Drosophila melanogaster: one gene and its partner. The protein of the gene in region 2 interacts with the protein of the main gene of each other region in a biochemical or structural test. Each region holds a gene or a part of one and is shown on either strand. Other genes may lie near its edges.

Evidence for each region. Proteins that work in one complex are often made in the same cells at the same time.
Region 1: the proteins of sli (region 2) and robo3 form a complex in vitro, tested with the Drosophila melanogaster proteins (one study listed by BioGRID).

Annotation. Positions count from the first base shown.
Region 1 is NT_033779.5:1,254,722-1,259,416, forward strand, and holds the start of robo3 (roundabout 3), read left to right. Parts: upstream 1-1,695; 5' UTR 1,696-2,169; coding exon 2,170-2,224; intron 2,225-4,695.
Region 2 is NT_033778.4:15,918,821-15,924,033, forward strand, and holds the start of sli (slit), read right to left. Parts: upstream 3,299-5,213; 5' UTR 2,819-3,298; intron 1-2,818. Other genes in the region: bdg (bedraggled), read right to left, coding at 4,363-4,891, 4,954-5,189.

The DNA of each region.
Region 1 (4,695 bases), on a different chromosome or scaffold from region 2:
TAATTTATCATTCAGTCAACGTTCTTCGATTGCAGTTTATCTTCGGAACTTACTTTACTGGGTCGCCAGTGTAATTTCCCACTCCCCCCGCATCTTTCCATTCTGTCTGTTCTCCGGTTCTCCCTTTTCCCACGAGTAAAAGCAGAGGAAAGTGTACTAGGGGAGCAGCAAGGATATTCCCTCGGAGTTGTTATTGTCCTGGCCGTAGAATGAATGGCAAATCAGGAAAATCTGACCCCCAGGTTGTTAGTTTTCTTGCAAGGATTTTTAAAGCCAATGGGAGCAAAATAGCAATTAACATGGATTTTGAAGCATCCACCTCGACCTCAGCCATCCATCCCTCGCCCTCCCTCCCCCTGCTTTTCCATTGAGTTCCTCCTGGTAATAATCGGAAATAATTGAAGAAAGAGAAAAACAGCGGGGAACGGCAAAAAGAGAATACTTACCGGACTGAAAAGCCGGGTAGCGGGGAATGGGTCACATCCTTTGAAGGATGTTTGTGTGTGCAATTTGTAGCGTTTTAATTGTTGTTTATGCGATCTAGAATGGGGGCGAAAGGAATGATGTGGTGGGGACTCCTAGGGCGCGGGGACCCAAATGCATCACCACCGCAAGCCACTGAGCTAATTTTGATTGCGGTGCCTGCAAACGACAGGAATCAGCAGGTGAAAGACGATGTCGGCTCCCGAGATCCTAATTAACTATGCCACTGATGTTTGGTTCGATTCAGCAGATTGCCCTCAAATGCGGGTTAGCAGCAAGTTGAAGTGCCTAATGCCCCGGGGGAAAACAAAGAACTCGAAGTCATGTGAATAAAGTCAGGGGATTGATGAATATGTAGAAGGATATGAAAGCTATCAAATTAAAGTAATACTTGAAATGATTAATTATTTTGATATTAGCAAAACAATAGGTTTCAATCATGACATTGATATCTGTAATCAGCATCTATTAGGAGTGTCATTACTGTGCAACTGGAATATATCTTATCTGCATCGGCATTTAACGGCTATTTCGAAATATTCAAACTTACTCGCTGCTTTTCTGGTTCTCATTCAGTGAATATATTTTACCATTCTCTCACAATGTTGTAAGCATTCAGAGAGCGAAGGAATTCCGGTTGAAACTCCGAAAATGTTGTTTATTCGGCCAGTGCGCAGACTCACCACTTTTGCCGGCAGGATTCAGCAACAAATGTTTATGCTCGCAACTGTGATGATAAACAAACCTGACTGAGACCAGAAACTACAATGTTGAGAAGCCATTTCAATATTATTTATTTGTTTTTGGAAATTTTAAAAACCCTATTGATATAAGATAAACACCAAACTACCATTAGAAGGCTGCCATTTTGTTATAAAATTTACTAGTATGATTGTACTTTACGGAAACACATAGCATTACAAACATTACAGAAAGCCTCTTATATGATGATACCTCCTTATCATACGGAATTCGATTACTTTTCGTTTTCCCGAGCTTTCCCCGCTGAAACAGCTGATTTGCCTGCAGGAATTTACTCCGAAATGTTGCTCTTCCGACTTCCCCAGTTCCCCGAGTTCCGAACTGGCCGAGCTGCTCCGAAGGCCGGAACTCACCACCCAGCGAACATTGCTGTGGACTGTTCCCGGTCTCCGGATCTGAAGGAACCCCATATCGAGTTGGCCGTGGGACGCCGTTCAGTTGAGTTTTGGTTACTGCCGCCAACGGTTATCGAGCTGAAAGTGAGCGCGTGTCGAGCTTTTTTGGTGCCCAGTTGTTTGGGCCAGCTTCGTGGGCGACTGGATTGGCAGCAAACATAAACAAACGAAGTGCGAAATTGCTCGGAAATCAGCTAATTGACACAACGGACATGCGAGGGCCAGACTTTGGCCAAATTTGGCCTGGCCAAAAAGGAAGCGGAAGTACTGCGGCCGCAAAATACATTGTAAACTGCTAAACTGCAGGGGAAGTGTAGCGAATAGTGTGCGAATGGAAGTCGAGTAAAAATCAAGCAACTCGAATAGATATATATATCTTTATATCCCTGCGGGAGTCGCTCCCCTGTGTCTGTGTGCCGGTGTGTATTTGTGTGTGTGTGTGCCAGGAGTTGGGCTGGGCAAATAAGTGCTCGTGCTCAGCTTTTTTAGCCAGTTTATCTTAAGGCGAAATACTGTAAAAAATTGTAAAATGGATTTACGTTTCGTATTCATCGTTTTCCTGCTCAAGTGGACCCATGCACAAGGTAAGCTCGAATAAAAATACACAACTGGTGCAAAAACCTATCCTGGTCATGGACTTCCTTCCTTCCGTCCATCAATCCATCCTATCCTCTCCTGCGTTTGCCTGGCATTCTCTGTTTGTGCAGCTGCCACAAGCTCTGGGTTCTGGGCTCCGAGTGGGTGGATATGGATGTGGATGAAAGGCGGAGACGGGTGCAATTCAAGTGCAATTCAGCCGGCCTGCAATTGCAAATATGCCATAGAAAATTGCTCAACAGAGACAGAAGTGCCAGCTCGTGAATGCACGACATTTGTATAGCTCTGCGATCCCGTAATGAGTTGCATTTAACTCATCCGACTCACTTGGCCGAGATGTTTTGGGAGCCGGGCATATTTATGATGATTGCCGACAGGTGTTGAATGGCTCGTCCAAAGGCTTGCCAGAATGTTGGTTGTCAGGCTTGGATTCACCTGAATGCTGGTTTATTGATACGTAGACTTGACTGGGAATCTGCATTCCGGAGACAGACTTGTCCCAGAAAGATACATAAATACTCGGCATTAGTAAATGGATAAAGTCCGTGCTGATAGCTGAAGAAGCCACCAAAGCAATTTACTAAGACTTAAAACTTTGAATCAAAATGAGCTAAGAATAGACTGAAATATAATTCGGTTATTATTGATAAATCAAATGTTGAATAACTAAGCTTGGTAACATTTCACACATAATATTCCAAGTAGTAGAGTTATTGTGGCAACACAATTTCCATTAAATCTACACTCTGAATTAATTCCCTTGCTCATCCTGCCTAATCGCTACCAAACTTTAGTTGCCAGATTAGCATATTTCCTGATTTGCATTTATTGGCCTAAACTGGCAGATAACTTAAGGCATTTCCCGAATCGTTCCATCCGCTCAAACATGCTTATGCGTAATGCATTGATTACTTCCTCCCGAAAACTTTTGCCAACTATAATTTATAACTCTTGCTTATCTCACCAATAAGTTGTAGCCATCAAATGGGAATTCGTATGAGCAAAACTTTTGTGCCAGACGCAAAACAATTTCCGCTGCTTTCAGCCCAACAAATTAGTGGAAAATGTTCTGCCAAGAAACGAGAAACAAGCCGGGGATTCCCCTCGGGCTGGCTAACTAAGCGAAATGAGTATGAATTCGAGTCGTGGCTCTGAATACAAGTGAGTACTCAGGGGCATGGCTCAAGCGGCATGTTTTTGTTGCATAAAATATGCGCATTTAACAAGGGGCTTCCCACACTTTGCCCCAAAAAGCAAACATATAAATGTGGGCCCACAAAAAAGCATTTCTGCCCGGCCACAAATGATACAAAAGATTATTCATATTTTTCGGAGGTAGCACATATACGAGTATGTATGTATGTACATATGTACATATGTGTGTGTGCGGCCATGTTGCCGCTGTTCAATTTGCGTTTTTTACGCTTGGATCTCCTTTTTTGGTTAAGGGCATTTTTATTATGTAGTTCATGCATGTAAACGAATTCAATTGAATAATATCCTGTCATTTTGTTGTTACATCCTCTTCGGGCTTTCCATTATCCCCCCCCCCCCCCGAAATTCTTTTCCCGGCTGCTCCCCTCGTTTGGCATGTCAAAATTTTTATCAGCGCACAAAATCCGCCAATGCAGGATGAAGGATATGGTGGAGTAAATAAATAAATCCCGACAACACGCGTGTCCTTGTATCGCCGTCCTGCTCGCGCAGATCCTCTCGCCCGCTCCCACGCTACTCTCGAAAGTATGCAATAAATTTCGAACAAAAAATATATTGGCATTTTAGTGGGTTGGCTGCCTTCTGCTCGTGTGCGGTGTATCCAATAAAAGAAAATTAAATACTTTCAGCGAAAGATTCTTCTTTTGGGTAAATTAATCGTACCTCTGTATTCTGTCGGAGTTTCAGATTTTTTCGCGTACCCAAATATGGATTACAATTCACTAAGTGCCTTTAATTCGAGCTTTATTTATAAATATAAATACAATATTTTCCCATATCTGTTACAGCTTTTGGCCCAATTCGAATGCCAGTTTCGCAAAACGGCTCCCAGTCGTGTGCCATAATTTTCGTTTCCCAACTTTGCCCAAGTTTGCTTAATTTATAAATTATGCATTATGTAGACTGCGTTACCAGGCAATTATCATTTTCCCGGGAAATTGCTGGGTCGCTTGTTTTGCTCCTGGTCTCTCGCCCAAGAAAGTAGGCTACGCAAAATTAATTTCTGCTGTATGTTTTTGCCTGTGTGCTTGGCTCGGCTCGGCTCGGCTCTTCATGTGCGTGTGCTTATTTATTTGGCTGGGATTCGAGAAAGGACTCGGATCGGTTGTCTTGTATTTGGCCCTCGTGCCTGGCGGCTACCGAAAGCAAAGGGCAAAAACACAGGGCCATCCGCACGGCGAAGTAGGAAAAAGTTTGGCAGACCGGAATATTAATGAGTATTTAACCTAAATTGTTGCTGCCT
Region 2 (5,213 bases):
AATCAAATTTGCTGAGAGGCATTTGTATAATTTGAATGTCTGTCCAAGTGCAATTTCAATTACAGTCGCTTAACTGTGGGAATTTCTGTATCTGTATCTTTAGTATCTGGCATCTCAAACTGCCCCAATTAATTGGCTGCGTAGTTGAAATTCCGTGCGATAAATGCGATTAATTGGAACGCTTCCTGCTGACCAACTTTATTTGCTGGACCCAACACCTGCTGCAGTCCCATCGACTTTCACTACGCACGGCTAACCCTAATTCCTCTGAAAAACCCAAAAAGACACGTCGAAGACGAGATAAACACAAACAAAACACTTGGCACCCAGCCGGGAAGGGGGCGTGGCTGGGGGCGCAGCCATCGGAGTGTGTAATCAACACTTTTATGTGATCCCCAATCCAATTCACAACTAATTACCAAAGCATCGATGGAATAGGAATAGGAATAGGAATTGGATTTGGATTTGGAATTGGCCTAGGGCATCGCTACATCGGCATGAAAATGTTGAAGGTATGGGGAGGGTTGGGGAATGGCATTTGGATTTCGATTGGGCATGGAAATGGAAATGAAATTGGGTGGCTCTCGCAATTAACGCTGGCATTAAAATCAGCCCAACGATTCCGTTTCCAATTATTTATTACACTTTCTGGTGCCTTTTATGCTGCTGCTTCTGCTGCGCTGTGCAGTTTGTTTAAACAAAATCAATCTAAATCGATTGCGCTACATTTGGAAAATAGAGACGTAAATCAATGGGCAGGCGACGGAGATGGAGGTGGGTCTGACCAGCCAACCAGGGACTACCAGAGATTAAAGGGCCCTCGGCGTGGCGATAACAAAGTGGTTTGTCCGCTGGAAATTAAGGCAAGCTGCGCCAAGTGAAGGTGCCGCGGGCAATGCCACCAAAAGAGGCAAGTACGTGTGCGTACTCTAAGTACATACACTGGAATTTACAGGGTATCGAAAGGTATGTACGATGGAGGAAAGGAATGTTTAACGGCTAATTTATAATCTTTGCTTCTCTAGGTCATAAAAATAAGTAATTAGACCACACGCCATATAAAATATGAATGGCCTTTTAGTATTTTTATAAATATGAAAATACAGGTAAATAGCTAGGCGAAAGAATACCATATATATAAATATCCTTTTGTTAGGACTTCATTTGCGTCACATCACCATCTGTTTAGTAACGTGAAATCCACAAAGGAAATAAGTTCTTAATTTATGCCGCCCCAATAACTTCATACATTACATCCATTAGTAACCAAAAACAAATCCGAATGGATTGACACAAGTCAAGAGTATCGATTAAAATGCTTTTATTGGAGCAAACAACAAAGGTTATTGAAAGTTATAACGGAAAGTTGTCGCGACTTAACTTCTGGCATGTGCACCTTTTATGATAATGTCATTGCGTATATGCCCCCGCCCACACTGTACAGAGGATATCGGTTAGTCGTGACTCCCGATCCCACGCTCCCTCCTCCTCAAGTGTTTATTTACACTTGTCTTATTTCTTGTTTGGAGTCTTTGGCGTGGTATCTTCTTCATTTTTTTGGTTTTTTTTTTTGTTTTAAGTAAGCGATTAGTGGCGGGAGACAATGAAAATTTGTCACTTGACAAGGCAAAAACAAAACGATTTCCATTTGCCCGACGACAAATGAGACATAAGGCAGGCACATAAGTGGATCCCAATTCTGCCCCTTAAATGCCAATGTATTGGAAGTAACAGCCAAATCAACAAAACAATCGTCTTGAGAGGACGTATGTGTGGGATGGAATGGTTCGGGATGGTATCGTATCGTATGGTATGGTATGGTATGGGATGAATCGGAAGCCCGCCCGCACACGCACTCGATGATTGTTATTAGTACATTTGCTGTGGAGTATATCTAATTTGCCATTGATGTGTGCATTAAGTTTGTACTGGGCGGCATACGGCATAGGAATTGTCGTAAAGCATTAGTGTCCCCCGAGATTAGAGCGAATGGAGGAGATAGGCCGAGGTGGAAAGGGGCCATGGCGGAAAAAGGCTGGCTCATCGCCCTTTTATTTGACATTGGGCAATATTTATTGCGAACTCATTTCAATGCTGGCAGAAACTAGGAAGAAAAGCTGACAGCGAAAAATGTACAGTGAAACCAGAATACCCTGGGCTCAGAAAATGTTACTATAAATACTAATGGGAAACCAAAGATGTTGTGGTTCTAATTGATGACATAATAAGATTATGTACATGAACTTATATATTTTTCAATTAGCAATTTGAAGGGGACTTTATACATTTAAAAATCAAATCACCTACGTAAGTGTAATATTTTTCATGTGACTGAGGCACACGATAGTTCCTTCTAGCCAGATGCGACTGTAGAAGGATAGCGCAGGCGACAGGATACGCAATACGAACAAAGCGGAATGGCAAAATACGCCATCAAAATAAATAAAAACAGGAGAAAACAGAACTGAGCGAAGGCGAAAACAAATTCGGTAGCACAGCATTCGGGGCTTTGGGCGGGAAAGAGATAGAACGAGGGGAGGGTTATACGTTACACTTCAACGTTACCGTTACGTCCCACCCAAAATGTAATGAAATCCTTTGTGTGCGTGTGCTTACGTGTCGGTGCGTGTATGTGTGTGTGTGTACGTTTTTGTTTGTCAACTTTGGCGAGGCGGGACATAAAAATGCTAATACAAAACACTAGAGCAAATTGCAGCAAAATAAGTTGTGAGTGGCGGCGGTGGAGGTGTGTGAGTGGCGAGCGAACTTGGCACCAGCTAACTAACTTTGCACGCAGGATTATCGCAAGGACACTTACCGTTTTAATCAGGCGAAAACACCGCTAATCCAATCGTAATCGTAACACCCACACAGACAAAGAAACAAAACACTAACACAACAAAGACACTAATTTTCGGCACTTTGCAGACGGAATTTAAATTCGACTTTTGCGCTTTTCTGCTGCTGCGATTTGTGCTTCAATTCGATTCGATGCGATTCGCGCAGACAAACGAAATTCAGGAATTTCAAGTGGAAATCTCGTTTGAGCACTTTTCGACCTGCGACTTACGAAGACGGCGCGGCAGAAAACTTTGGCCTTAACTTGGCTTTAAAATGGCCGTGCAAATGTGGATTGGCTAAGAACGCGCGACTTCAATTGCCAATGCACACTTTATGGTTTTTGCTTAAGTTTGGCAATTGCAAATTCTTTGCTCACCGGAATCTTCACTCTTGGTTTATACTATAATTCTTTTTGGACGCTCTACGCGACGCGATTGAAAGTGATGCGTGCGTCTGACCGCTCTCGTCGCCGTTCGAATTTTTTATGTTTCTGTTTCGCTGCCGAGCAGTGTTACCAGATGCAGGAGTAACCTCACCCGGCAAGAAGGGCCTAAAAAATACCGCGTTCGCCAACAGTTTAAAAGTTTCTTGTTCCAACTTAAATTTCAAATATTATGGTTAATAAGGGTCCAAAAACTCGTTCATTATTAAAGTGTTGATAATATTTTCATGAAAATATATATTTATTTAAAACTTTATAACTATCATCCCAAATTATAGAGTAGTTGTACTACACACATTGGCTTGTATAAGAACCCTTATCACTTGCTTTTATATAGGTCTCAATTGTTATTTATGTATTTCTAGCATTAAAATTACTAATTATAAGTAAAAATAACGGTATCAATTATTGTGTGAACTTCACAAAAGTTCTAGCCGAGACTCAACCCATTTGAACTGGTTCTTTGAACCAGCGCTGCCAGATATTAAAATAATAACCGCCAATTCGTGCTGATTTAAAAATTCCGCGGATTAACTTTTTTGCAGGCCAATCCCTTTGGAATATGCAAGTCACAAAGAAAACAAAAGAAATGGCGTGACATTTTAATCGAAATATGCAGCAACTTCCTGGCCCGCCTCATTAGGCGCCTTTGTTGGCTACGCCATCCTGGACTTCCGTTTATTTTCACTTTTTTTATTCAACTGGTCACGTTTGTTAATCGGCTTAGGGCCCAAGTACGTATTCCCTTAAATAGCTGACCCTCGAGAGCTGGGCACGTAGGAGGCCTACTCCATTGTTGGGATAATTTTAAGGGCAACTGTGCAGACAGGCGCGATCCGTAAGCCTAAAATATATGTGAAATGGAATTAAATGGGGTGGGTTGGATCGAACTGGGAATACCGGTTGTAGGGATCAAAAGAGCTCACACTTGGGAGTACCAACTAGTTGTTTTCGTTATTATTCGCATAACTACAAGGTAATATTCGTATTTAGATAACTAGCGCTAATCAAGTCTAAGAAAGCAAGCGGATATGTGGATCGCATAAGAGTTACGCTATGTACGGTACGATATTAGTCAGTTAAATCACAGATGTATTATTTCGCGCGCACTCCTCCGCCTGTCCAGCCTCCAATTCGAGCTCCAGCTCCACACCGGGCGTTCTGTCCGGTGGCTCGGCATTCAGCACAAGATTCTCTATGGATCGGAATGAGGCGTCCTCCAAGTGCGTGGACATGGCGGCGGTTGGGGGGCGAGGCAGGGTGCTGGCAGTGACCAAATTTCCGCCTCCCTGCGACTGGCGATGTCGCACCGAGGAGCGCAGTATGGTCACCACATCCTCCGCCGTATAGGGCCGCCTCTCCAGTGTCGAAGCACCCGAACGATGCAGTTTCCTGCCCAACGATTGCGAGCGTTGGGAGTAGCCAACGGGTCGCTGGTCGATCTCTATGGACTCGGGACTGCTGCTGGAAGCTGGCGAAGGATCCGCGTTGAAACTACTGCCAGCCGGATTGGTCAGTATGGTTAGGTAATCAGGCGGCGCCGCTGGCGAAGCAGACTCCGCATCGAGGGAGAGCACGGGTCGCGTTCGACTTGAGTCTCCGAGAACCCTGTGTCGATAAATTGGTCGTAAATAACTTTTTGTTTATATTAAGGGATGGTTTTTATGTACCTTCTTACGCTGCGGCGAATGCTCTGGCGCAGAAGCTTGGCAAGGCGGGCTCCAGTGGCCGTTGTGTAGGACGGAGGTGGTGTGTACTTTGGCGGAGCATCGTTCTGTGCATCGTGTTGGCCGCCCTCCGTGGTCTGGCCCAAAGCATTACGACGACTTTGGGACGCCGTTTGTCGAGCGGATGGACGACGCGGTTCCTCTCCCTCCTCGGGCGGTCGGTACAGCAGTTGAATGCGCTAAAAGAGAAAAGGAAATAATAT